Linked DNA regions of Rhinolophus ferrumequinum. The protein of the gene in region 3 interacts with the protein of the main gene of each other region in a pairwise test. Links are inferred from orthologs where the notes say so. Each region holds a gene or a part of one and is shown on either strand. Other genes may lie near its edges. The genes, in order: TTBK2, TBC1D10C and KLHL12.

The links.
Region 1: the proteins of KLHL12 (region 3) and TTBK2 interact in binary tests that used the Homo sapiens proteins (3 or more experiments, as listed by UniProt). The two-hybrid records come from large-scale screens. The link is inferred for Rhinolophus ferrumequinum from reciprocal best matches to the Homo sapiens genes KLHL12 and TTBK2.
Region 2: the proteins of KLHL12 (region 3) and TBC1D10C interact in binary tests that used the Homo sapiens proteins (3 or more experiments, as listed by UniProt). The two-hybrid records come from large-scale screens. The link is inferred for Rhinolophus ferrumequinum from reciprocal best matches to the Homo sapiens genes KLHL12 and TBC1D10C.

What each region holds. Positions count from the first base shown.
Region 1 is NC_046289.1:62,758,697-62,766,564, forward strand, and holds the start of TTBK2 (tau-tubulin kinase 2), read left to right. Parts: upstream 1-4,800; 5' UTR 4,801-4,815; coding exon 4,816-4,884; intron 4,885-7,868.
Region 2 is NC_046294.1:4,830,802-4,837,929, reverse strand, and holds the start of TBC1D10C (carabin), read left to right. Parts: upstream 1-4,088; 5' UTR 4,089-4,187; intron 4,188-4,195; exon of another isoform or gene 4,196-4,417; 5' UTR 4,418-4,448; coding exon 4,449-4,600; intron 4,601-5,289; coding exon 5,290-5,389; intron 5,390-5,604; coding exon 5,605-5,712; intron 5,713-5,796; coding exon 5,797-5,903; intron 5,904-6,101; coding exon 6,102-6,216; intron 6,217-6,795; coding exon 6,796-6,861; intron 6,862-6,993; coding exon 6,994-7,128. Other genes in the region: PPP1CA (serine/threonine-protein phosphatase PP1-alpha catalytic subunit), read right to left, coding at 398-508, 581-715, 798-1,021, 1,423-1,527, 2,069-2,299, 2,453-2,584, 3,102-3,156.
Region 3 is NC_046310.1:166,117-173,041, forward strand, and holds the start of KLHL12 (kelch-like protein 12), read left to right. Parts: upstream 1-3,858; 5' UTR 3,859-3,997; intron 3,998-6,381; exon of another isoform or gene 6,382-6,415; 5' UTR 6,416-6,454; coding exon 6,455-6,649; intron 6,650-6,925. Other genes in the region: ADIPOR1 (adiponectin receptor protein 1), read left to right, coding at 27-155. UniProt on the Homo sapiens protein: Substrate-specific adapter of a BCR (BTB-CUL3-RBX1) E3 ubiquitin ligase complex that acts as a negative regulator of Wnt signaling pathway and ER-Golgi transport.

The DNA.
Region 1 (7,868 bases), on a different chromosome or scaffold from region 3:
CTTCCATCTTAGAATTGCTTTTGCAGTGTCCTATAGATTTTGGACCATTGTGTTACATTTTCATTTGTCTCAAGGTATTTTTTATTTTCTTTTCTGATTTCTTCCTTAACCCATATGTTGTTTAGTAGCATGTTGTTTAGCCTCCAGGTTTCATTTTGAAATTGATTTCTAGTTTTATACCATTTTAGTCAGAAAAGATGCTTCATATAATTTCAGTCTTCTTAAATTTACTAAGACTTGTTTTGTGGTCTAACATGTGATCTGTTCTGAAGACTGTTCCATGTGCACTTGAAAAGAATGTGTATTCTGCTGTTTTTAGATGGAATGTTCTATAAATATCTATTAGGTCTATCTGATCTAATGTGTTAAGGCCATGTTTCCTTGTCGATTTTAAGACTGGATGATCTATCCATTGATGTAAGTGGGGTGTTAAAGTTCCATACTATTACTGTATTACTGTCAATCTTTCCATTTATGTCTTAATATTTTCTTTATGTATTCAGGTGCTTCTGTGTTGGGTGTATACCGGTAGATGTTTACAAGTGTTATATCCTCTTGTCGGAATGATCCCTTTATCATTATATAATGCCCTTCTTTGTCTCTTTTTACAGTCCTTATTTTAAAGTCTATTTTGTCTGATGTAAGTATTGCTACCCCAACTTTCTTTTCATTTCCATTTGCATGAAATATCTTTTTACATCCCTTCACTTTCAGTTTGTGTATGTCTTTAGATCTTAAGGGAGTCTCTTGTAGACAGTATAAATATGGGTCTTGGGTTTTTTTTTTAATCTGTTCAGCCACCCTGTCTTTCGATTGGAACATGTAGTCCATTTACATTTAAAGTAATTATTGATAGGTATGTACTTACTGCCATTTTATTAATTATTTTCTGGGTGTTTTTGTAGTTCTTCTCTGTTCCTTTCTTCTCTTGCTTTCCCCCTGAACCTTGATGACTTTCTTTAGTGTTACGTTTGGATTCCTTTCTCTTTATTTTTGTGTATCACAGGTTTTTGGTTTATGATTACGATGAGATTCATATGTAACAACTTATGTTTATAGCAGTCTATTTTATGTTGATGGTCACTTAAGTTCGAACCCAGTCTAAGAGCACTACATACTGTGTTTCCCTGAAAATACGACCTAGCTGGACAGTCAGCTCTAATGCGTCGTTTGGGGCAAAAATTAACATAACATTATGTTATATAAGACCCAGTCTTATAGTAAGAAAAGACTGGGTTTTATATTAATTTTTGCTCCAAACGACACATTAGAGCTGATTGTCCGGCTAGGTCTTATTTTCGAGGAAATATGGTATTTGCTCATTACCCACCCCCCCACATTTTATGTTTTTGACATCATATTTTATATTTATTTTCTGTGTGTACTCATATACCCCTTAATTAATTATTATAGATATAAGTGATTTTACTACTTTTGTCCTTTAACCTTCATAATAGCTTTATAAGTGACTGGGTCACTAATTTTACTAAATGTTTGCCTTTACCAGTGAGTTTTTTCTTTCCTATATTTTCTTATTTTTAGTTTTGCAGGCCATTTATATTTAAAGAAATTATAGATATATTTAGAGTTAGGTCAGCCATTTTATTATTTGTTTTATGTTTATGCCCCTGTTTTTATTCTTTTATTTCTCCTTTCCTACCTTCTTTTGGATTATTCTGACATGTTTTGATGTGCTACTCTCTTTTTTTTCTTTTTTTCTTTTTTTGTATAGCTATTTTAAGCAATTGCTCTAGGGATTACCTACCTAATTTTCCATTCTATTAAAATTATTATATTACCATTCTAAGTAGAATGCAGAAACCTAATCACCATTATATAGGTCTCTAACATTCCACCTTTTTGTTGTAGTAGTCTTATAAAGTATATCGTATACATTGAAAATCCTTTTAGTGTTATAATTTTCTTAACTGTCAAGCATTTTTTTAAAGAATGTAAGAGGAGGTTAGTCTGTTATATTTACCTAGATTTCTGTTGCTCTTCCTTCATTCCTGTTATTCCCAGTTTTCCTCTGTTCCGTTCCATTTCTTCTTCAGAAGAAATTTCTTCTCTAGAAAAAATTCTAGGTAATTTCCTAATTCTATCATTTCTTCTGCATTTATTAGCTGTGCTTATTCTCTAGGGAAAGTTGCCCTCATCATTTAATTCTTTCACAGTAGCTCTGCTAAAAACACACAATCTTAATTTTCTATTATCTGAGAGTGTCCTTATCCTTGAAGGGTATTCTCTCTGGATACAGAATTCTGAGTTGACAATGCTTTTTTCTTTTAGTCCTTAAAAATGTTTTTCTGTTTCTTGCTAGCTTTTGCCTTAGCTTGATATATACCTTGTTTCTTATGATATGTAATGTAAGCTTTTTTTATTTCCTATGCATTTATTTATTGGAGAAACTGGGTATATTGTCCTTCAGGGTATTCAGCATCATGGATTTAGCTTATGGTATCCTCATCTTGACATTTAACATGTGCTTCTAGTCCCCTTATTTTTGTAAACTGATATTTAAATCTAGCAGCTTGATTACATCTAGGCTCTTTTAGAAGAGGCAGGACGCTCTATAGATGGTACTGAGTAAATGTTGTTGCATCATATCAGGAAGCATTTATGTTTCATTATCCTGCTTTTTAGCGATGTTAAGATTGATCAGTGGGTTCAGCTTGATCCATATTAAAGTTCCCCATCCACATCCTCCATATGTTTTTAGCAGCCTTTGGTGGTCATTGCCTAGATTCATTATTTAACCAGGGATTTTTGAATTCCTAATTCTAGGCGATTTCCTAATTCTGTCATTTCTTCTTCCACATTTATTAGCTGTGATTATTCTCTAGGGAAAAAGTGGCCCTCATCATCTCTTTGTTTCCCTGAATTACTGTTCATACCAGAAAGGCAGTATAAATTCTTGATTATTTCTATTTATTTACCAATTTTCAGGATAAATAGTTGTGCCCTAGCAACTTCGAGAATTGACCAAAGTGGAATTTTCTTTTTTGAGTGTCATTATGAGCTCATGGGTGTTTATATTTTTCTTATTTTCCAATCATTGCAGTCACCATTTGTGTATATGCTCAAATTGTTTCATCTTTGGCAAATAGGAATCCTTTCGGTTGTCTCTGATTTCCTATTGACTTGCCTGCAGTAGTACTGTTAACATTTTTGCTTTCTCATTTGACAAGACATCCCATATTTTCTTTGTGTACAGTTTCCTGTGCCAGACCTGGTACAAGCCATTTCTCTGATTTTTTTTTTTTTTTAAGTGGGAAATGATGTTCAGAGTCTACAGTCTAGAGGCTGGGGTGCTCATTGTTACTGGGTTATCATTGCTTTTAGGCCTTTTCAGGCCAATCCTCGTGCCAAATCTTTTACCGTAATTTCTTGATTGATACTTGTTATGTAGTTGATTCTTAAGGGCATTTCCTGGGAACAAGCCTTGAAAGCTGGAACAAGCAACTTTCAAGGGCATTAGCCTTGAAAGTTGGTTTGAGGGAACAGAACTTTCCTGGCTCACATTTTGTTGCCTTGGGTATTTAAATGTATAATTCCATTGTCTACTAACATAAGCTGTTTGTGCCAATGTTTGTCATCAGTCTGATTTTCTTTCCATTATAAGTAATTTGGACTTTCTGCACGGATGACCAATGAATTTTTTTCCCCTTTAAAACCCACTAGTTTTATTAGACTGTGTCTTGATATTGAGCTTCTCAGTTGTTTTCTTAGGAATGTGGTGAACATGCAGATTTAGCCTTTTGTATATTTACATAAAATTTTCTTGAATTATGGTGGCTAATATTTGTTCTATTTCATTGCTTTTTCTTTTGGGGGGCTTTCTATGATAATGTATTTTGTCTTTTATTTATCTCTTTCAATTTTTGAATTTCTTAAATTTTTCATTTTCATTTTTCTCTTTTGTTTTTTCTCACTTATTTATATGGTATCTTGTCTCATATCCCTTGTAGTTGAGCCTTCATTTCTTTTTCTTTCATTTAGGACTCTTTTCTGAGTTCATTCAGGTTTCTTTTTATGTCTTCCTGTTGCCTAGCTCTCTCATTTAAGAGCTTTTCCAATTATCATTTATGTTGTTTTAAAGCTTCTTTTTCTTACTTTTCTTTGGTTCATCTTCTAATATTAGGTTATGGTTTTCATCTCCTTTAGGCCATATTTTCTGCTGTATCTTCATTTTCTACAGGTGTACTGTTCATGTTATTGATATCCTCTTTTTCTTATTGTATTGGGTTTGATGAATAGCCCTTTTCTGTGGCTCATGGTTATTTCCTGTGCATTTTAAGTGCATTATGTAACATTAAAATTTTATTAGCTCTGATGATGGTAAGCTCTAACTTACAACCTATTAAACTATAAGCTGTTGTAAATTAGGTACCATATCATTTTCTTTAGCAATATGTTGTACTTAGGAAAGTGGTCTGTCTGGGTCACCTGCTATTGACACCATGCTTTCCCTATAGTCTAACAGTTTCAGCTATTGTAAATTATATCTGTGTCATAATGTAATGTTTTTGTAATGTCTAGCTGTTTCATTGGGTATTTGTGATGGAAAGATAAATATTTTTTACAAAGTATTCACTAAACAGATTTTTAAAGTGAGTTTGTTAGTTTCCCCCTTCCCCTTCCAACAAAGCAACCTAATTAACGTATGGGATTAGTAATGCTACTTGTTGCTAGAATGTTTGTGTTAATTAGTTAGTCCCGATATGCCACTGCTGTTTCTTTTGTTTTAGGTTAAATGGAAACCACCCTTGGGAGCTGGATGCTTGTGTAGCGGTTCTGTCACGTCAGTGAATTGCAATGAGTGGAGGAGGAGAGCAGCCGGATATCCTCAGTGTTGGAATTCTGGTCAAAGAAAGATGGAAAGTGGTGAGTATACATCTTTGGGGTGGGGGGGAAGGGGAGAAAGGGAGAGAAAGAGAGAACACTTTTAATAATTTTTGGTGTCTTGATAAAAATAGCATTTCATTGGGAAAAAACACATATTGCTTGCTAAAGCAGTTACTTTCAGTTTTTTCCCTATGATTAAGTTTGGTTTATACCCAAATTCTAATTCTTGCTTCATGTAGTAGTAAATTGTCCTTATCTCTGAGAACTAATATTGAGTAAGGTAAATAAAAGTATACTTAGGGGAAAAAACAAATAAAAAAATAGAGTACAGTAAACTGCTTTCTTTTTTATTTTTGAACTTTTTATTAAGAAAAATTGTAAGTATACATAAAAATAGTGATACTGATATAATGAACCTCCATGTACTCATGCCCCAGCTTAAATATTTATCAAGTTATGGTCAATCTTGTTTTATCTCTTTAACCTCACTCCCAAAATATATATATTTTAACTCTTTATTTATTTTAAGTGTGTTTTTCCAGAACCCATCAGCTCCAAGTCAAGTAGTTGTTTCAAGGTAGTTATGGAGGGTGCAGCTCACAGTGGCCCATGTGGGGATCGAACCGGCCACCCTGGTGTTACGAGCATCATGCTCTAACCAACTGAGCTAACTGGCTGTCCCCCAAAATATTTTTAAACAGATCTTTCCCCTTAGTATTTTACGATACATACTTCAGTATGTATCTCTAAAAGATAAAGATTTCTCTTTAAAACACAATCATAATATCATCACACCTAAAAAAGTAATAATTTCTTAATATTATTAAGTATTGGCTTTTACATTTCCCTGATTGTTTTTTAAGTTATTTTTAACAGTTTAAATCAAATCCAAATAAAGTCTGGATATTATAATTGGTTGACATCAGTTAAGTATTTTTAAGTTTCTAGGTATTTTTTTGTCTAGTTTTCCCTTACAATTTATTTGTTGGAGAAACTAGGCCATTTGTCTGTAGAATTTCCTATGGTTTGGGTTTTTCTGATTGCTTCTATGTGGTGTTAACATGTTCCTCTGTCATGTATTTTATATAAATTGTTATAAATGTCCTCTATTAGGTCTGACTTCAGTTCTAATCTGAGATGGGGGCAGTTTTTTCATAAAGGGTATTGTGAACTTTCCATAGGAGGCACGTAATGTGTTACCGCCTGTCTTTATGGTGTTACTATTGTGGATCGTCATTGGCTGGTATGTTAATTCATTTGGGATTGCAGATTGGTGATCTTTCTCAACTATTTGATTTCCCTGAGATATAACTTGATTAAGAAAACAATAAATACTTGATTCTTTTTTCTTAATTTACCAGTTTTCAAAATAATGAATTGATTCCCTAGCATTATCCAAAAGTGACTAATGACATTTTTAAAAATGTGATTCACAATTCATGAGTTTAAACACATTTAATGTGTTTCAGTCCATTGTAGTTCTTATCCTTATCGATACTCAAATTGTCTCATTTAACTAAGGGGACACCCGTCAAGTTGTCTCCTGAATTCCTTCAACATGATCGTAATAGTCTTTTTCTTTTTAAATTTTTTAAATTGGGGAATATTGGGAAACAATGTGCTTCTCCAGGGCCCATCAGCTCCAAGTCGTTGTCCTTCAATCTAGTCGTGGAGGACGCAGTTTAGCTCCAAGTCCAGTCGCTGTTTTTAATCTTAGCTGCAGGGGGCGCAGCCCACCATCCCATGCGGGAATTGAACCAGCAACCTTTTTGTTGAGAGCTTGTGCTCTAACCAACTGAGCCATCTGGCCGCTCCCCTAATAGTCTTTTGATGGCTTCCTTGCCATAGACTTATCAGCCATCTCTCCTCTTCTTAAAGTAGCTATTTTTGTTTTGGATATATTTAAATATATTGTATTGCTATCTAGTCTTTTGTTATCCAAAGTTTTTTATCTTTTACCAGCTTTAGCAAAGCTGTTTCTGTGGTTTCCTTAATCAATAGATTGGAAAAAGAAAATTCTTCATTTTGAAGTAAAAATTTTGTTTCTGTGGTAGTGTTTTACTGATTAGGCAAATCAATAGGTTTAGAAAATTTACTTGAGTAAACATAAGAAAAGAACCATAATCATCATGGACTGGTGCAGGGAGTTTTCAACAATTGGTAATCTTTTATGTAAGTTAGGAATGAGTGTTGCTTTATGAGAACTTTGTATTAAGTGCTGCCATAAAGGTTGGCTGTTCTCCAGTAGACATATCGCAAAGTTGCAAATGAAGTTATGCCTGGTTTAGTTGCCCTGTCCTGATAATTAGAGCTAATATATGTGTGGAACATGTCCCCCAAGTATGAGAGGCATAGTGACATTTTTAGTGAGAAACCACAGGCTCATTGGTAAGGATGGTGTTTTGGTTATCTAGTGTTGTATAACAACTACATGAAAACTTAGAGGCTTAGAATAATCAGTTATTTTGCTCACAGTTTTGTGGGTTAGGAATTTGAGAAGAGTTTGCCTGGGTGGTTTGTCTCTTACTCATGTGGCACTAGCGGGTTTGGTTGGTTTGGAGAATTCATCCCAGATGGCTCGTTTGGTGCTTTGGGGATCCTTAGTTCCCTCAACCCCCAACCTGGTGCCTCATTTTCTAGGACTGCTTCACAGGACTGTGGCTTCTGAGGAGGCCATGGTGATTGGCTCTTGAGAGACAGGAAACAGAAGCCTTGAGGCTGGTTGAGGGCTATTATCAGAATTTGTGCAGTGTTACTTTTCCTGGTTCTCTGTTGGTTAAAGCAGTCATAAGATTCACACAGATTTAAGGGGATGGGGAAATGGACTCTCCCTCTTATTGGGGGAGTGGCAAAGTCACTCTGAAGAAGAGCAAAAAAGATGAGTGATACTGTGGTCATCTTTAGAAAACACACTCTGCCACAGGCCTTACCTTTATTTTTTTCCCCTAATCTACATACCCCCATCATACTAAACTGCCTCTGTCTCTTTGCCTCATAAGCGTTGATGTATTAGCGCTTTGTCA
Region 2 (7,128 bases), on a different chromosome or scaffold from region 3:
CCCTCCCTGGGCAAAAGGACGCCAGGCCCAGTGTTTGGGACACGGGAGACAGAGGCCAGGGTGAGAATCCAGCTTTGACCTTTATTCAAGAGACCAGATGGGTTGCCCAGGATCCGGCTGCCAGCCCTGAGGCCAAGCAAGGCTGGAGACCCACAACCTGGCCCTGCTTTGCCCTGAGCTGCAGCCTCAGCCCCAGGATCCTGCTTGCAGCCACCGAGGCACAGGCAGGGGGAGCCCTGGGGGATTGGACGCTGCTACTGATTCATTAAAAAAAAAAGAAAAATACACCAAGGCTCCGTGTTCCCTTGATGGGTAGGCCCAGGGGCCAGTGTGACCCCCACGGCTGTGAGATTGCTGCACAGTCCACCCTCGGGGGCAGACAGCGGGCACCCACAGGCTATTTCTTGGCTTTGGCGGAGTTGCGGGGTGGGGTGATGGGCCGGCCGCCAGGGTTCAGGCCACTGAACTGCCCATATTTCCCCTTGTTCTTGTCGGCGGGCTTGAGGATCTAAGAGAGAGAACTGGTCAGGCTCACGGGGCTGAGCCATGGGCCACCAGCCCCTTCCTTCCCCACCCCTACCTGGAAGGAGCACATGAGCGTCTCGTCCACACTCATCATGGCGCCTGCATTGTCAAACTCGCCACAGTAGTTGGGAGCTGAGAAGAGTGTCACCAGCTGCCGCTTGGCAAAGAACTCATAGCCATCTTCTACGACCTGGATGAGGACGGGGCAGTTAGTTCAGCAGGTGCTGGCTGCCCAGGCCCCACTCCCACCCAGACCAGAGCTCCCAGCCCACCTGGTGTGCCCGGCAGATGAGGTCCAAGTCGTGCTTGTGCAGGAACTTGGCCACCACCTCAGCCCCGAAGGTAAAGGAGACACCACGGTCGTTCTCGCCCCAGCCCTGCACATCCTTGTCAGGGTCAGACCACAGCAGGTCACATAACAGCCCCTGGTCAGGCACATCTGTGGGCCGCATGATACGCCTAATCTGCTCCATAGACTGCAGATCCGGGGAGAGACCTGAGGGACACGGGGCAGGTCACTTCCTCAAACAAGCCTCAAAACAAGGGCCACCCTCCTCCAGAAAGTCTTGACCAATTAGCTTCTGCCTCCCCCCACTACCACCTGGCCCTCTCCTGGACTCCTGGAAGCCCAGGTCGGCAGAACTCACCGCCTTAGCCTGTTTAAGTCCCTGCCCTCTAGGAGCGCAGAGCTCCCTAGAGAAAGGAAACTTCTAAGTTCCACGCACAATGCTGAGGCCACAACAGCAGAGAGTACAGCCTAACACTGGCGAGGGGGGACATCCAAGCCCAGACCCCAGGGAAAGCTGTTCCAGGTGACTGGGAACACGTCCTCCAGCAAACAGCCTCATCCCGAGGTCCCCAGGGATGTGGCTGGGCTTTTCCCAGAGCCGTCCTCACCTCCATGGCAGCAAAAGATCTTCTCGTCCACAATGGCCGCGATGGGCAGGCAGTTGAAGCAGTCGGTGAAGGTTTTCCAGAGTTTAATGTTGTAGCGTCTCTTGCCTGCCCAGAGGAAGGAGATGGCTTGTGAGGCGGCCTGTCCATCCAACCCACAACAGGGTTGTGGGCCCCCCAAGGCCTCCCAGACACAGCTGGGAGAGGAGCGTGAAACGCAAGGGAAACCCACTGCCTACCAGCTTTCCAGGAGGAACCCCCGAGTTCCAATCCGGAACGTCAGGGTTGGCACCCACCTCCACCCTGTGAGCGGGGCCAGGCCAAGACCAGATCTGGTTAATCTCAGCTTCTGGCCAGCAGAGTCCAGGCCACATAGGCATCCTAAGTGCTTAAGTAACGGATGTGCGAGAGGGAATGTTACCAGACAGGACCCTGTATTACACTGTGGTCGGCCCTTCCTGAGGGCCAGGCCCCATGGCAGCAGAGCAGGAGGGCAGTCGGGCAGGGCCCTGCCTTCCCCACACTCACAGTCTAGCAGGTTATCTGTCAGATGCCGATACTCCTACCACCAAGTCAACGCAAGGGTCCCACCAAACAGTGGGGAGAGAACTTCAGGCCTCTGGCAGCCCCAGGCACGCAGCCCACTCACACTCATCATAGAAGCCGTAGATGCGGTTGATGCTGGCACACTCGTGGTTCCCACGGAGCAGGAAGAAGTTTTCGGGGTACTTGATCTTATAGGCCAGCAGCAGGCAGATGGTCTCCAGCGACTGCTTGCCCCGGTCCACGTAGTCCCCCAGGAAGAGGTAGTTGCTCTCTGGAGGGAAGCCACCATACTCAAACAGCCTTAGAAGATCATAGTACTGGCCATGGATGTCACCTGTGACCCAGGGAAGCAGGTCAGCACTAGGTGCGGGATCTAGACTTGAACCCAGGGCCAGGGTGGGCTCAAGAGAAGAGGGATCCAGGGGTTGGGCGGAGGGGGGGGCGAGGACACCTTCAGGAAGCAAAAGGGCCTGGGCAGGGGTCTCACCGCAGATTTTGAGGGGTGCCTCCAGCTCCAAAAGAATGGGCTGGCTCAGGAAAATCTCCCGGGATTTGAGGCACAGACCACGGATCTCATTCTCTGTCAACTGTACATTCTTGCCAGGCCGCGAACCCTGCACTGGAGGCGGAATGGAGCGTCAGGACCCTGGTTCCTCAGACAGGAGGGTGGGCGGCACAGGTGCCCCATGGGCACTTCTAGCGGCGCCTGGGCCTCCTGGGCCCCTCCTTGCCCCGGGAAGCTGTTGCTGCTTAGCCTGCCAGGACGGGACCCCAACTACCCTTAAGGTGCTCGAGGGGATTGCTGTGCGCAAGGGCCGAAACCCCCCAACGCAGGACCCCTTTCCGGGGGTGGGGGGGACAGGCTTCTTAGATTTTTCCCTCACCCCAAGAGCCCAGGCCAACTGGTGCGTCCCCGGTCCAGAGGAGGGGGCTGCTCCCCGTGCCCGAAGGGCCCCAGACGCCCCCAAGGTGCGCCGCCAGTGGGGGGGCGGCTGCGGCCGCGGAACCTCGCGGCCCGTCCCCGCCCAGTCTAAGCTAGCCCTGGGAGGGGCAGGCCCGCCCGCGCGCAACTTCCGGGCCGAGCCGGGCCGGGGGTTAGGGCGAGGCGGACGCTGACCTCCCACACCCCAGCCAACCTTCCAGTAGGCGCCCGATGATAGAGTCCAGATTGAGCTTCTCGCTGTCGGACATGGCGGCTCTGCCGCTCCGGCCCAGCAGCTCCGGGCCAGCTCCTGCCTCCCGCCCTCCGATGCCTCCTTCCGGCCTGTCGCTCCTTCCGCCCGCCCCGGCCCGCCTCCTCGGCCGCCCGCCCCGCCCCGGCCCGCCCCACCCCGCTGGCTTCCCTTGCCTGCTGCCCCAGCTCTCTAGCGCCTCCGCTGGACGCCATGCGGGAGGCGGGGGCTCGGTGACGGGGCGGTACTTTATGTGCCTGGGGCGGGGCCTGGTCGGTGGGCGTGGTTTTGTGGGGTGAGGTTGAGTCTGGTTCCGCCCCTGAGAATTACTCAGCCTCTTTCTGAGAATATAGGACCGGAAATACTGTGGAAGTTGTTTTTCTCTTTCACAGGCGGAACAGCCGAACTTCCCACCTGGCGTGAGCACGTTAATCATAGATTCCCCAAACACTGTGGATTAAGTCCTCAAAGGACAGAAAAGGAAACTGAGGCTCAGAGATAACAAGGGGCTGGTCCAATACCTGGCCTCACATTCACAGAGGACCTCTACCTCCTGCGTCTTTGTGGCCCCCGAGGTGGCTGACCAAACCCAGGCAGCTTCCATAGAACTCCGAGCCCATTTTAGTTCATACTGCCTGTGGTGCAATCTAAATTAATTTTTTAAAATCCCATCCTTGCCTGCCTTTGAGTAGCACAAACTGCATTGTGAGCATGTTAAAAGTATTACTTTCTAAAGAGCAAACATTAAATAAACCATAATTCTCATTGAAACCCTGAATTGAGTGTTTTATATGCCAGTATCCTCCACAGGAGGCAGCCTGGCCTCTACCTCCAGCAGTCCCTGGTCCCATCAAGCCCGGCACAAGAACCCAGGGTACAGGGTTGGGTTGGTGGGAGGAGCCCATAGCCCAGGGGCACTGGGGCAGGCCGGAAAAGCCTCAGAGAGGAAGGGGTAACCCCCCCACACACACTGGGGAGGGGCCCCCCAGTGGGTAGCTGAAGCTGTGTCTGAGGAGGAAGTGAGAGGAGGAGGTGAGGTGCTTCTGGGAGGTAAGCTGGGGTGCTGGGCCAGGGGCTGGGTCTCTGAACAGAGGCCTGGCCTTTCTGCCACTTCAGGGTCTAACCCCCTCCCACCAATAGAAGTGGGGACACAAGGGGCTTGTTGAGATACCCTGAAACCTCCTCCCTTCAACCCCACAGCCAGGACCTGAGGCTGAGGACCGGTTGGATGGGAGGCCAGGCCAGGAGCTGCCTCTCTCACTGGTTCTCCCATCTTGCAGCCTCTTTGTTGCATCAGGGGTCTGGGGCACCATGGCCCAGGCCCTGGGTGAGGACCTGGTGCAGGCTTGTGAGCTGCAGGATGATTCCAGTTCTTTGGGGTCTGACTCAGAGCTGAGTGGGCCCGGCCCATATCGCCGGGCCGACCGGTATGGCTTCATTGGAGGCAGCGCAGCAGAGCCAGGGTAAGTGGGGAAGGAATGGGGGTGGGGGAGGTCCTGGATTGAAGATAGGGGCTGAGAGCTGAATTCTAGAATGAGGCCCAACCTCAAGGGTCCTGGGCGGGTCTGGGGACTTAGCAAGTGTCACCCCTCCTAAGGCTGGCAGGACTGGGCCGGGGTGTCCTTGTCTCTTTACCCCCAAACCCCAAGGGTTTGGACCCACCTTGGGAACTGAACATCCTTTCCCTTTTAACCTCTGGCCCAGGAATCCCAAATCCAAATCACAGAACCCACACTTCTTTCTCCACCCTCCCCCTTTCCCAATATACAGACAGGATAAAAAGTCCAGAGACACGAAGGAACTTGCCTGAGGTCACACAGCAGATCAGAGACTGAACCAGTCTCAAACTCAGTACTCCTGGCTTCTAGTACAGGGCTCAGTCCACACAGCTTCCCCTGTGAGTTGTCTGTGTCCCTATCCTGGGGGACAGCCAACCAGCCCCTCCCCCAATGCACACCTACACACCCCTTTCAGTCTTTCCTGCTTCCACCCACATTGGAGCCACATCCTTTCCTGTCCCCATGACAACCACTGGCAACTCTTGGGTGACAGGTCACCCCCCAGGGGCTCACTTAGGTTGCATGAGGGTGGCAGATGTGGGCTGTAGGTAACAGCTGCCTGGCGCCTGGATGTCTATGCCATGTGCTCCCAGGCCTGGTCACCCTTCTGCAGACCTTATCCGTCAACGTGAGATGAAGTGGGTGGAGATGACTTCACACTGGGAGAAAACCATGTCTCGGCGGTACAAGAAGGTGAGGGGAGAATGGCCCCACCCAGGCCGTCTTGGCTTATTCTCCTTTGCCTCAGCCCAGGCCCTGGCAAAATTTAGTCCCCTCCTGTGTCCTGTCTTTTCTCCCTACCACCCAAAGTGGCCCTTGCCTGATGCTAAGTTGTGTTTGGGGCCTGCCAGCAGGAGCAGGGGAGGCTGGCCCTGCTGGCCTAATGGGGTCCCTTGGCCTCCGCACAGGTAAAGATGCAGTGCCGGAAAGGCATCCCCTCAGCCCTGCGTGCCCGGTGCTGGCCTCTGCTGTGTGGGGCCCATGTGTGTCAAAAGAACAGCCCTGGTATCTATCAGGTATAAGAGTTGGCAGGGGTTCCCCCCTTTCCAGAGCCCCTCGCCACTTTGAGCCCTCCCACCTACCTTCCTGCCTACCCACAGGAACTGGCTGAGACTCCGGGAGATCCACAGTGGATGGAGACCATCGGCAGGGACCTGCACCGCCAGTTCCCTCTGCACGAGATGTTTGTGTCTCCCCAAGGTCACGGGTACGAGGCCAGTGATGCCCAGGGACCCCCAGCCTCACAACCCCAGGCATTTTGGCCCAGCCCCTCCCCACCCCAGCTTTATGTCTTTGCATCTCAGGGGAGCCAGCAAGGCTGGGGGTGGTGAGGCTTGGGCAAAGGCTGCAGAGAGGGGAAAGGGATGCCAGGAGGACTGATCCCTAATGGGGTCTTCTGGCACAGGCAGCAGGGGCTCCTGCAGGTACTCAAGGCCTACACCCTGTATCGGCCTGAACAGGGCTACTGCCAGGCACAGGGTCCTGTGGCTGCCGTGCTACTCATGCATCTGCCCCCAGAGGTGAGTGCCCTTAACCCTGTGCTAGGGGCCCGAAACCCTGACCCCCAACCCCAGTGACCCGTGACTCCCAACCCCAGGGACTCTGATGTCAGGAACCTGGGATCCTTGACCCCAGATCCTGTCCTAGTGACCCAGGGCTTCATGACTGCCAGCCTCAGTGACCTTAAAGCCCAATGACCTGGACTGCAGGAACCTGGGACCTTTGCCCCTTGCCCCTTGCCCCAGTGAATAGGAGTCTGCATGTTATCACCTTGACCTCCTGACTCCTGATTCTGAACCCTGTCACCATGATCCCTAAACCAATGACCCCAAGAACCCAGGACTTGAGCTTTGGGATCCTCCCAACCTTTGACCAGTGAGCCTCGATTCTGTGACCCTCAAATTCAACACCCTGAGCCCTGTGACCCATGAGCAGGGGAGGCTTTTGGTAAGAGCGCCCCCAGGTCTGAGTCCCGGCACCTAGATCCACAGTCACTGCAGATGGTATCCAGGCCCTCCCCTGCACCCTTTCCCCCTGCCCTGCGGTTCCCCTTGTGGCCCCTCCATGGTGGGCACTCATGGCCTGTGCTCCACCTCCAGGAGGCCTTCTGGTGCCTGGTGCAGATCTGTGAGCTTTACCTGCCAGGCTACTACGGGCCCCACATGGTAAGAGTCTGGGATGAGGCCAGAGGGCACAGGGGGAGGGGCTGGGTGGATGGGTGGGTGGAGGCCTGGGGACTGAGCGGGGCAGAGCCTGCTGGGCTTTGGGAGTGGAGGTGCTGACGGACATGGCCGCAGGAGGCTGTGCAGCTGGATGCTGAGGTGTTCATGGCCCTGCTGCGGCGGCTGCTCCCGCGTGTGCACAAACACCTGCAGCAGGTGGGCGTCGGGCCCCTGCTCTACCTGCCCGAGTGGTTCCTGTGCCTCTTCGCC
Region 3 (6,925 bases):
AAGGACTCTTCTCGTTGTCCCTACAGTTCCAGTCTCATCAGATTTTCCACGTCCTGGTGGTGGCGGCAGCCTTTGTCCATTTCTACGGGGTCTCCAACCTGCAGGAATTCCGCCACGGCCTGGAAGGCGGCTGTACTGATGACTCACTCCTCTGAGCCGTCTCACCGGAGGGCGGGAGGGACTTCCCAAGTGCTTTTAAACACAACTTCTTTGCTGAAGTGACAGGAAGAGTCTCAGTTGTCTGTTTCTAGAGGAAACCTCTTAGAGAGTTGAGTCCGAGCAAGCTTCAGCCCACTTCCCACCCTGGGACAGTAAATTTTCCATTTCCCTGGCTGAGGGAAGGTGGGGGTGGCCACACGTCACCATGCCCCTCCTTGGCAGTCCCCTCAGCAAGGCGACTCTGTCCCTGCAGAGTACTTTGAAGCTCATGTTGAGATTTTACCCCTCCTCCAACCATTTTGGGGAAAAGTGATGAACTGGGACTCTTCGGAAATTCTGTTTCTGGAAGAAAAAGTCCCTCCCTTACCGCGTCCTTACTTTGTAACCTGGCTTATAACAGGCCACCGTTTTTGTAGCACACTTTTCAAAAACAATTGTAACCGGTCCCATCTTTCCAGGGCCTGAATCTGCTTACACAGCAGGAAGAATAGAGTCACCAACTTTGATGCAGCCCGGCTAATCATGCAAATGTGTCCAGGCTTCAGATAACTTGAGTTTCAATGTTTTTTTTTCTTGGCAGAGTAATGTAAAATTAAAAAGGGGAAAGATATTTAATATTTAATACTAAGCTTTAAAAAGAAATCTGCTATCATTGCTATGTATCTTGATGCAAAGACTATGGTGATAATAAAAGAAAGTACAGAAGACAGTTAGTGTCCAAAGACTTAACATGCGTGGTCTCAGCCCTCTGCACTCTTGTCCGTGGGTTAGAATCAGCAAAGTCATCTCAGGCCCTGCTGAGGCACACATCTGGGTCCTCGGCATTGCTCGGCCAGCACGCGTGGGCCGCGGAGAAGCCGACTGAGTTCCCAGCATCTGCTCCTCAATACAGCCTTGTTTTTCTCTACTCATTGCACAGAATTTGACGAGAGAAATTCGCACACTGTATCACTTTGTAGTCGTGAGAAGGCCCTCAGAGGTGTCAGGCTGCGTCCCTTTTGAGTATCCAAGGTCAGCACATCTGAGAGCTTAGTTCCTTTCCGACTGCCTGCCATGCTTACGGTTGTGTCGTCAGGAGGTTAGTCCATGCTTTCTGTGCAGTCGTACAGTGTCACCTCCCAGCTAACGGGGGCAGTTAGGAATCTTCCTGAGTTACAAAGATGGGTTCACGTCAAGGTTAGGTTTGTACACTGGATGAATAAGGGATCCTTTTAAAGAATAATCTGACTAGGCTGACAAACAGGAAGTTTCTCAACCTCACGTGGTAATCAGGGAAATGCAAGCTAAAACCAAAGTGTGACTCCACCTCCTCCTTCCGACTGACAGATTAGATAGAAGCCCTGACACTGAGTGGGTGTGGGTGTGGGATGCCGTTGGGAGCAGGACCAGGGTGTGTGGACATGCGTGGCGTGTGTGTACGTGTGGCACCCCCAAACAGTTCATGAGAGGCCATGAGATGGACCTGAAGTCCACCCCGGATTACTTCATTAAAAAGCACTTGTTCTGACCACTAAACTGTTTCCTTGACAGCTCACGGCCTGACTTTGAAAAACACTACTCTTGAGCAACTTGGCTTGTATCAAAAGACTCACTATAGCTGTGTGTAGGCACAGCACACAGCAAACGAGGCAAATGTCCACAACTTGAACGGAAAAAGAAATCTTGGTTTAGCCGCACAATGAAACACGACTTAGTTACAGTGACAACAACACGGTTGGGTCTCAAAGATTAGGGGGAGTGAGGGGAGCAACTTACGGAAAAATCTATCAGGTTCAGAAGTTTGCAAAACCAATGCTAGTTTAAGGGTATGAATATGGTAAAAATTCAAAAGGAAATGTTAATTTAGGCGCATGGTGCCCCTGAAGGGTAAGAACTGGAGGAGAGGAGGGACACACTATTTCAGAACTTAGCTCGTTCCTTGTAACTAGCTGGTCAGCACATGGTGTTCTTAAACCATGCGTATTTTTTCTTGCATATATGTAGTAAGGGTTTAACAAGATGAGCTGATGGCAGAGCACACACTGGTGACCTGCAGGGTGCAATGTTCACAAACGCCTGTACGCTGGGGACAACCAACTGCAGCTCAGTGGCAGCTGTGCCCTTTGTGGAGGGGTGTGCTCTCTGGTTCACCACACTGCCTAGTCCCTGGAGGCATGTTTGCAAGCTCTCCTGTCGCATCCGATCCAACGCCATCTTCCACAGGAACTACGGAGGCCGGAGCGACTGAAATCCGGTGTTTTCTCATTTTCAGTAGGAGACAGGACCAGGGAAAGAGGGTCTGAGACAAAGCGTTTCTTGAGCATGTACTTTGTACTTTGCGTATGTCATTTTGTATCTTTTTAACCCTGTGAAGTAGGTGGTATTATCCCATGCCACATGTGAAAAAATTAAGGTCCCAAAAGACTAAGACTTTTTCCCAAGATGACAGATAGGATCAGAGCCAGTATCTGAATCCAGACCATTCTGAGTTAAACCCCATGTTCTAAAGCCTCCGAAAAGTTCAAAGGCACAAAAAGAAACAGAGGGAAAAACCTCCCTCCTGCCCTGTCTTCCAACCAACCAGCCACATCCTTTTGCCAAAGAAACGAATGTTACCACTTCATTTTCAATCTTTCCAAATGCATTCTATACATATACAATCAAATAGGAATATATTTTCCCAACCTTTTTATGCAAATAATAGCAAACTAGATGCACTGTTCACAACTTCAGGGTATTGGAGGGTGCGCTCTACTTTATTGAACCAGTCCCCTACTTACGGAGGTGAAGGTGGTTTTCCATATAACCTACGACGACCTTGCACACACGTTACTTTACGTGTGCAAGAGTGTGTATGAAGGAGAAAAGATAAAAATCTCAGTTAAGGATATCTGCATTCGTAACTTGAGTGAACTTTTCCAAATGCAATAGAATTTGTACCACTCCTGCAGTTCACCCCCAGCGTGTGAATCAGGGATAATGTGAGATCGTAGGGAGATGATGCCAAAGATGGAAAGGAAACACTGTAAAATTAGATTGCTGCCCACTTGCCTATGGTTTTATCCCTAAGGAATCAAAGGCCCGAGAGGGAAACAGTGTCATCAAACACAATGTTTGGACAAAAATGGGGTCAAGGAGCCTGATCCCCTTGCCAGCCAGTCAGCTGAGTGCGCCCAAATCGGTCAGAAGCGAAATCCCTAAAGGGGACGCCCCGCGCCCCGGAGCTGGAGACGTCGGCAGACGAAAGGGGAGATGAGGCCTCCTTGGACTTCTGATGGGTTCCTTCGCACGTCCCTCAGCGCAGGGACCAACGTCCGGCGACCACCAGTCCCTTCCACGAACTGTCTCGGGGTGCGAGCAGCAGAGAATCACCTGCGGGACGGCGGCGGGCCCCACTATGATGCAGAGAATGCGGAGGTCAGGGGGTCGCAGGGCGGCCCGAAAGGTCACAGCCTGGAAGACACCTGCAGCCTCCGTGGCCTTTCTCGCCGTGAGAGCGTCCCTGAAGCCCTGGCAGGTGAAACGTGCCCCCGGCCATCAGTGCCGTGGCTCCCGGACCCTTCGCGCCCTCCCAGCCGCGGGATCTCGGGGACCAGCTCACTGTCGGCCGCCGCGGGAGGCCGGGCGCCCAACACCTGCGGGTCACGTGCCGCCGCTGCCCCACGTGACGCGGCTCCGGGAGGGGAGGGGCGGTCCGCGCTCTGCGACGTCATCACGTCGCGCGGCCGCGGGGACGGCACCCGACGAGCGGGGCGACGGCTCGCGAGGCTCCGGGTCGGGGCGGCGGCGGCGGCGCCCGGGCTCCTGAGCCGCCTGCTGGCCGCGCCCATCTCACCCCATCCCCACGCGCGGGGCGCAGGTGAGCTGACGGAGGGCGTGGGTGGCGGTGGGCGCTTCCTGCCGGGCCCGACCCGGGTTCCGGCCCTGCCCGCCTGTCCTCCCCGCCGAGGGCACGCAGCGGAGGGGGCTCGGCGCGCGGCGCTCAGCTCCGCCCGCCGGGACCCCAGCTGCGGTGCCCGCCGCGTCCCCGGTGCCGTCGGGGGACACTTCCTCCTCCTCCCGCCGGGGTTCAGCTGGGCCGGAACCTGACGCCCTCCCCGAGTCCTCCATGGTGCAACCCCCATGCAGATGTTATGGAGGTTCTGGGACAGTGGCCTCGGGAACGGGAGGGCGGAGGAAGTGCCGAGACTTGGCCCGGCGAGGCAGGCATCCCCACGCCGCGCTCGAGCTACCGTCGGTGTGACGGGCACGGAGACGTGGCCCGAGCCTGTGGGGACCCCCCAGAAAGCCTCCACAGTCCATGGGCATCTGTTAGACCTTTCCTCCCTCCGCAGCGTCGCAACTCAGTTGGCTTCAGGAAAATCTTTTTGAAAACATCATATGCTCTGATGACTCACCTCCTTTTCTGTAAAGTGGGCCCCGCAGGGTTGCTGGAGGGATTATCTCGAGTGTCACAGAGCAATACGCTAGCTGTAAACAGGAGGACGTGCGATGTCGGTTTTCCCGTTCAAAAAGTGTGGTGTGAGTTTTGGACTCTTGAAGACCCTGGTTTGAGGTTTATTCTTGGATCATTTCAGAAAGTTTTGGATTCCAACTAAGACAGACTTAACCACCCCGTTTCATTCCCCAGAGTTGTCATTGATGAAGAAAAGGAAAGAAATAGTGTCACAAAGCCTGTCACGTACAGCGCAACACGGGCAGTGAGAACGAGAAGGGATGGCGAAGGGTTAAGAAAGAAACAGAAATCAACAGAGTTTTGAAAGGGGCCAAGGGTCTCCCAGCCTCAAAGGACTGCGAGCCCCGAATCGGGCCACCTTGTGGCTTTTATTGATTCACATACAAGGAAGTCGCATTGTTTTCTCCACGGTCTGTGGGTCTCATACACCACACCAGAAAACTGGTTCAAACCGATCACCCTTGCCTGCCGAAAGTCCCATGATGTATAATTATTGTTTGTACCTCCCCAGGGGACAAAACCTTTATGTTTAAAACATACTGAGATGGAGAACTGATGTTATCACATCTAGAACCACTTCCCAAGCAGGTTGTGGGAAGGAATACAGCCACAGAGGCAGAAGCTCTCCTTAGACGGGGGAAGTGGAAAGCTGTACCCTCCTCTATCAACCCCGTGAATTCTCCTGGTGGTCCCCACACAACTGTGCCTGTCTTGGGTCGTTCCTTTCTTGAGGAATCTTACCTGTCATTGGCTAGCCAGCCATGCTTTGGGGCCAAACAAGGAGATGGCATGAAAGGAAACAATGTCCCTGAAAGGAATAGTCTCACAGACTCTTCTTTCTTTTTAGGGGTAGGCACGAGGGGACAGACGGGCAGGCAGCTGCATGACAACAACCATTAAGAAAGTACTTTTTTCATTTTTTGATGTGTAATCTATTACTACGTTCATTCAAGTGATGCGTGCTGGTGAATTTTGCAGGTGACTGACTGTGGCAGTAAAATTAGTGGGCTTTGGCTAAGTTTGTATCCCGAGAAGGCTGTTTGTTTTGGTACAGAGAATTACTACAAATATTAACTTGTTGGTGTCGACGGACATTGACTGATAGCGTAGAGTAGGAAGACCCTTCTGGAGAAGAGCTTCAGGCAGGACCTTAATCAACTGGAAGCCCACACACAGGCCTGCGCGGTTCGCATCACTCAGTGTAGGTAGCGGGTCCTCATTGGCAGTTTCGTTTTAAAAGGAATCCAGATACATTTGGAAATCACCATAAATGATTCTTTGCCTAGTTCTTTAGAAAAAAAGTTTATTTTCACTGACTGGCTTTCACAGCTCTAAGGTGGAGGCACAATTTCTCTTTTCTTGAATGCATTGACTAGGCACTTACTGTACACCTGCCTGGACAGAAAAAATACATAACACAGGATCCCCACCCTCTCCGCACTTCCCCGTGTAAACTACTCGTGGGTGTTGAATAACATGTACGCGCCTTTAAGAAATTTTGTCTTTTCATCATTTTATCATTGGAGATAACAGCCTGTTGTAGATGAGCCGGACGTGTAGTTTCTTTCTATTTATAATACAGTTGAGTATTGATTATGATAAATGTCAGGAGGTAAGCGTACTCAGAGAAGAGATCATTTTTACTTGGGTTACTTAGTGGCTGGATTGTGGGGGTGATGCCAGGAATGGGGGTGCTCTCTGTTTGTTGTTTGGTTCTCAGGAAGCCTCCTTGAGCTGTAACGCTAATTGAAAATGTCCTGTCCCCACCCCCAACCCCCATCCTTCAGATATGCCCCCTCTTTTTTTCTCTTGTATTTGCAGAATCCCAGGGCCCATTTCATTCTTTTTCCACGTTGCTTGATGGGAGGCATCATGGCCCCCAAAGACATCATGACAAATACTCACGCGAAGTCCATCCTCAACTCGATGAACTCCCTCCGGAAGAGCAACACGCTGTGCGACGTGACCCTCAGAGTGGAGCAGAAGGACTTCCCTGCCCACCGCATCGTGCTGGCTGCCTGTAGCGACTACTTCTGCGCCATGTTCACGAGCGAGGTGAAACTTGTAACCTTGCGGTCGGCTCGCTTCATTGGCTCAAATCGCAGTTCGACAGAACAGTGGATTTCTGTAGGTGGGATTGCCATGTTTCCCCAAAAATAAGACCTAGCTGGATAATCAGCTCTATTGCATCTTTTGGAGCAAAAATTAATATAAGATCCGGTCTTGTGTTAGATAAGACCGAGTCTTATAGTAAAATAAGACCGGGTCTTATATTAATTTTTGCTCCAAAAGACGCATCAGAGCTGATGGTCCAGCTAGGTCTTATTTTCA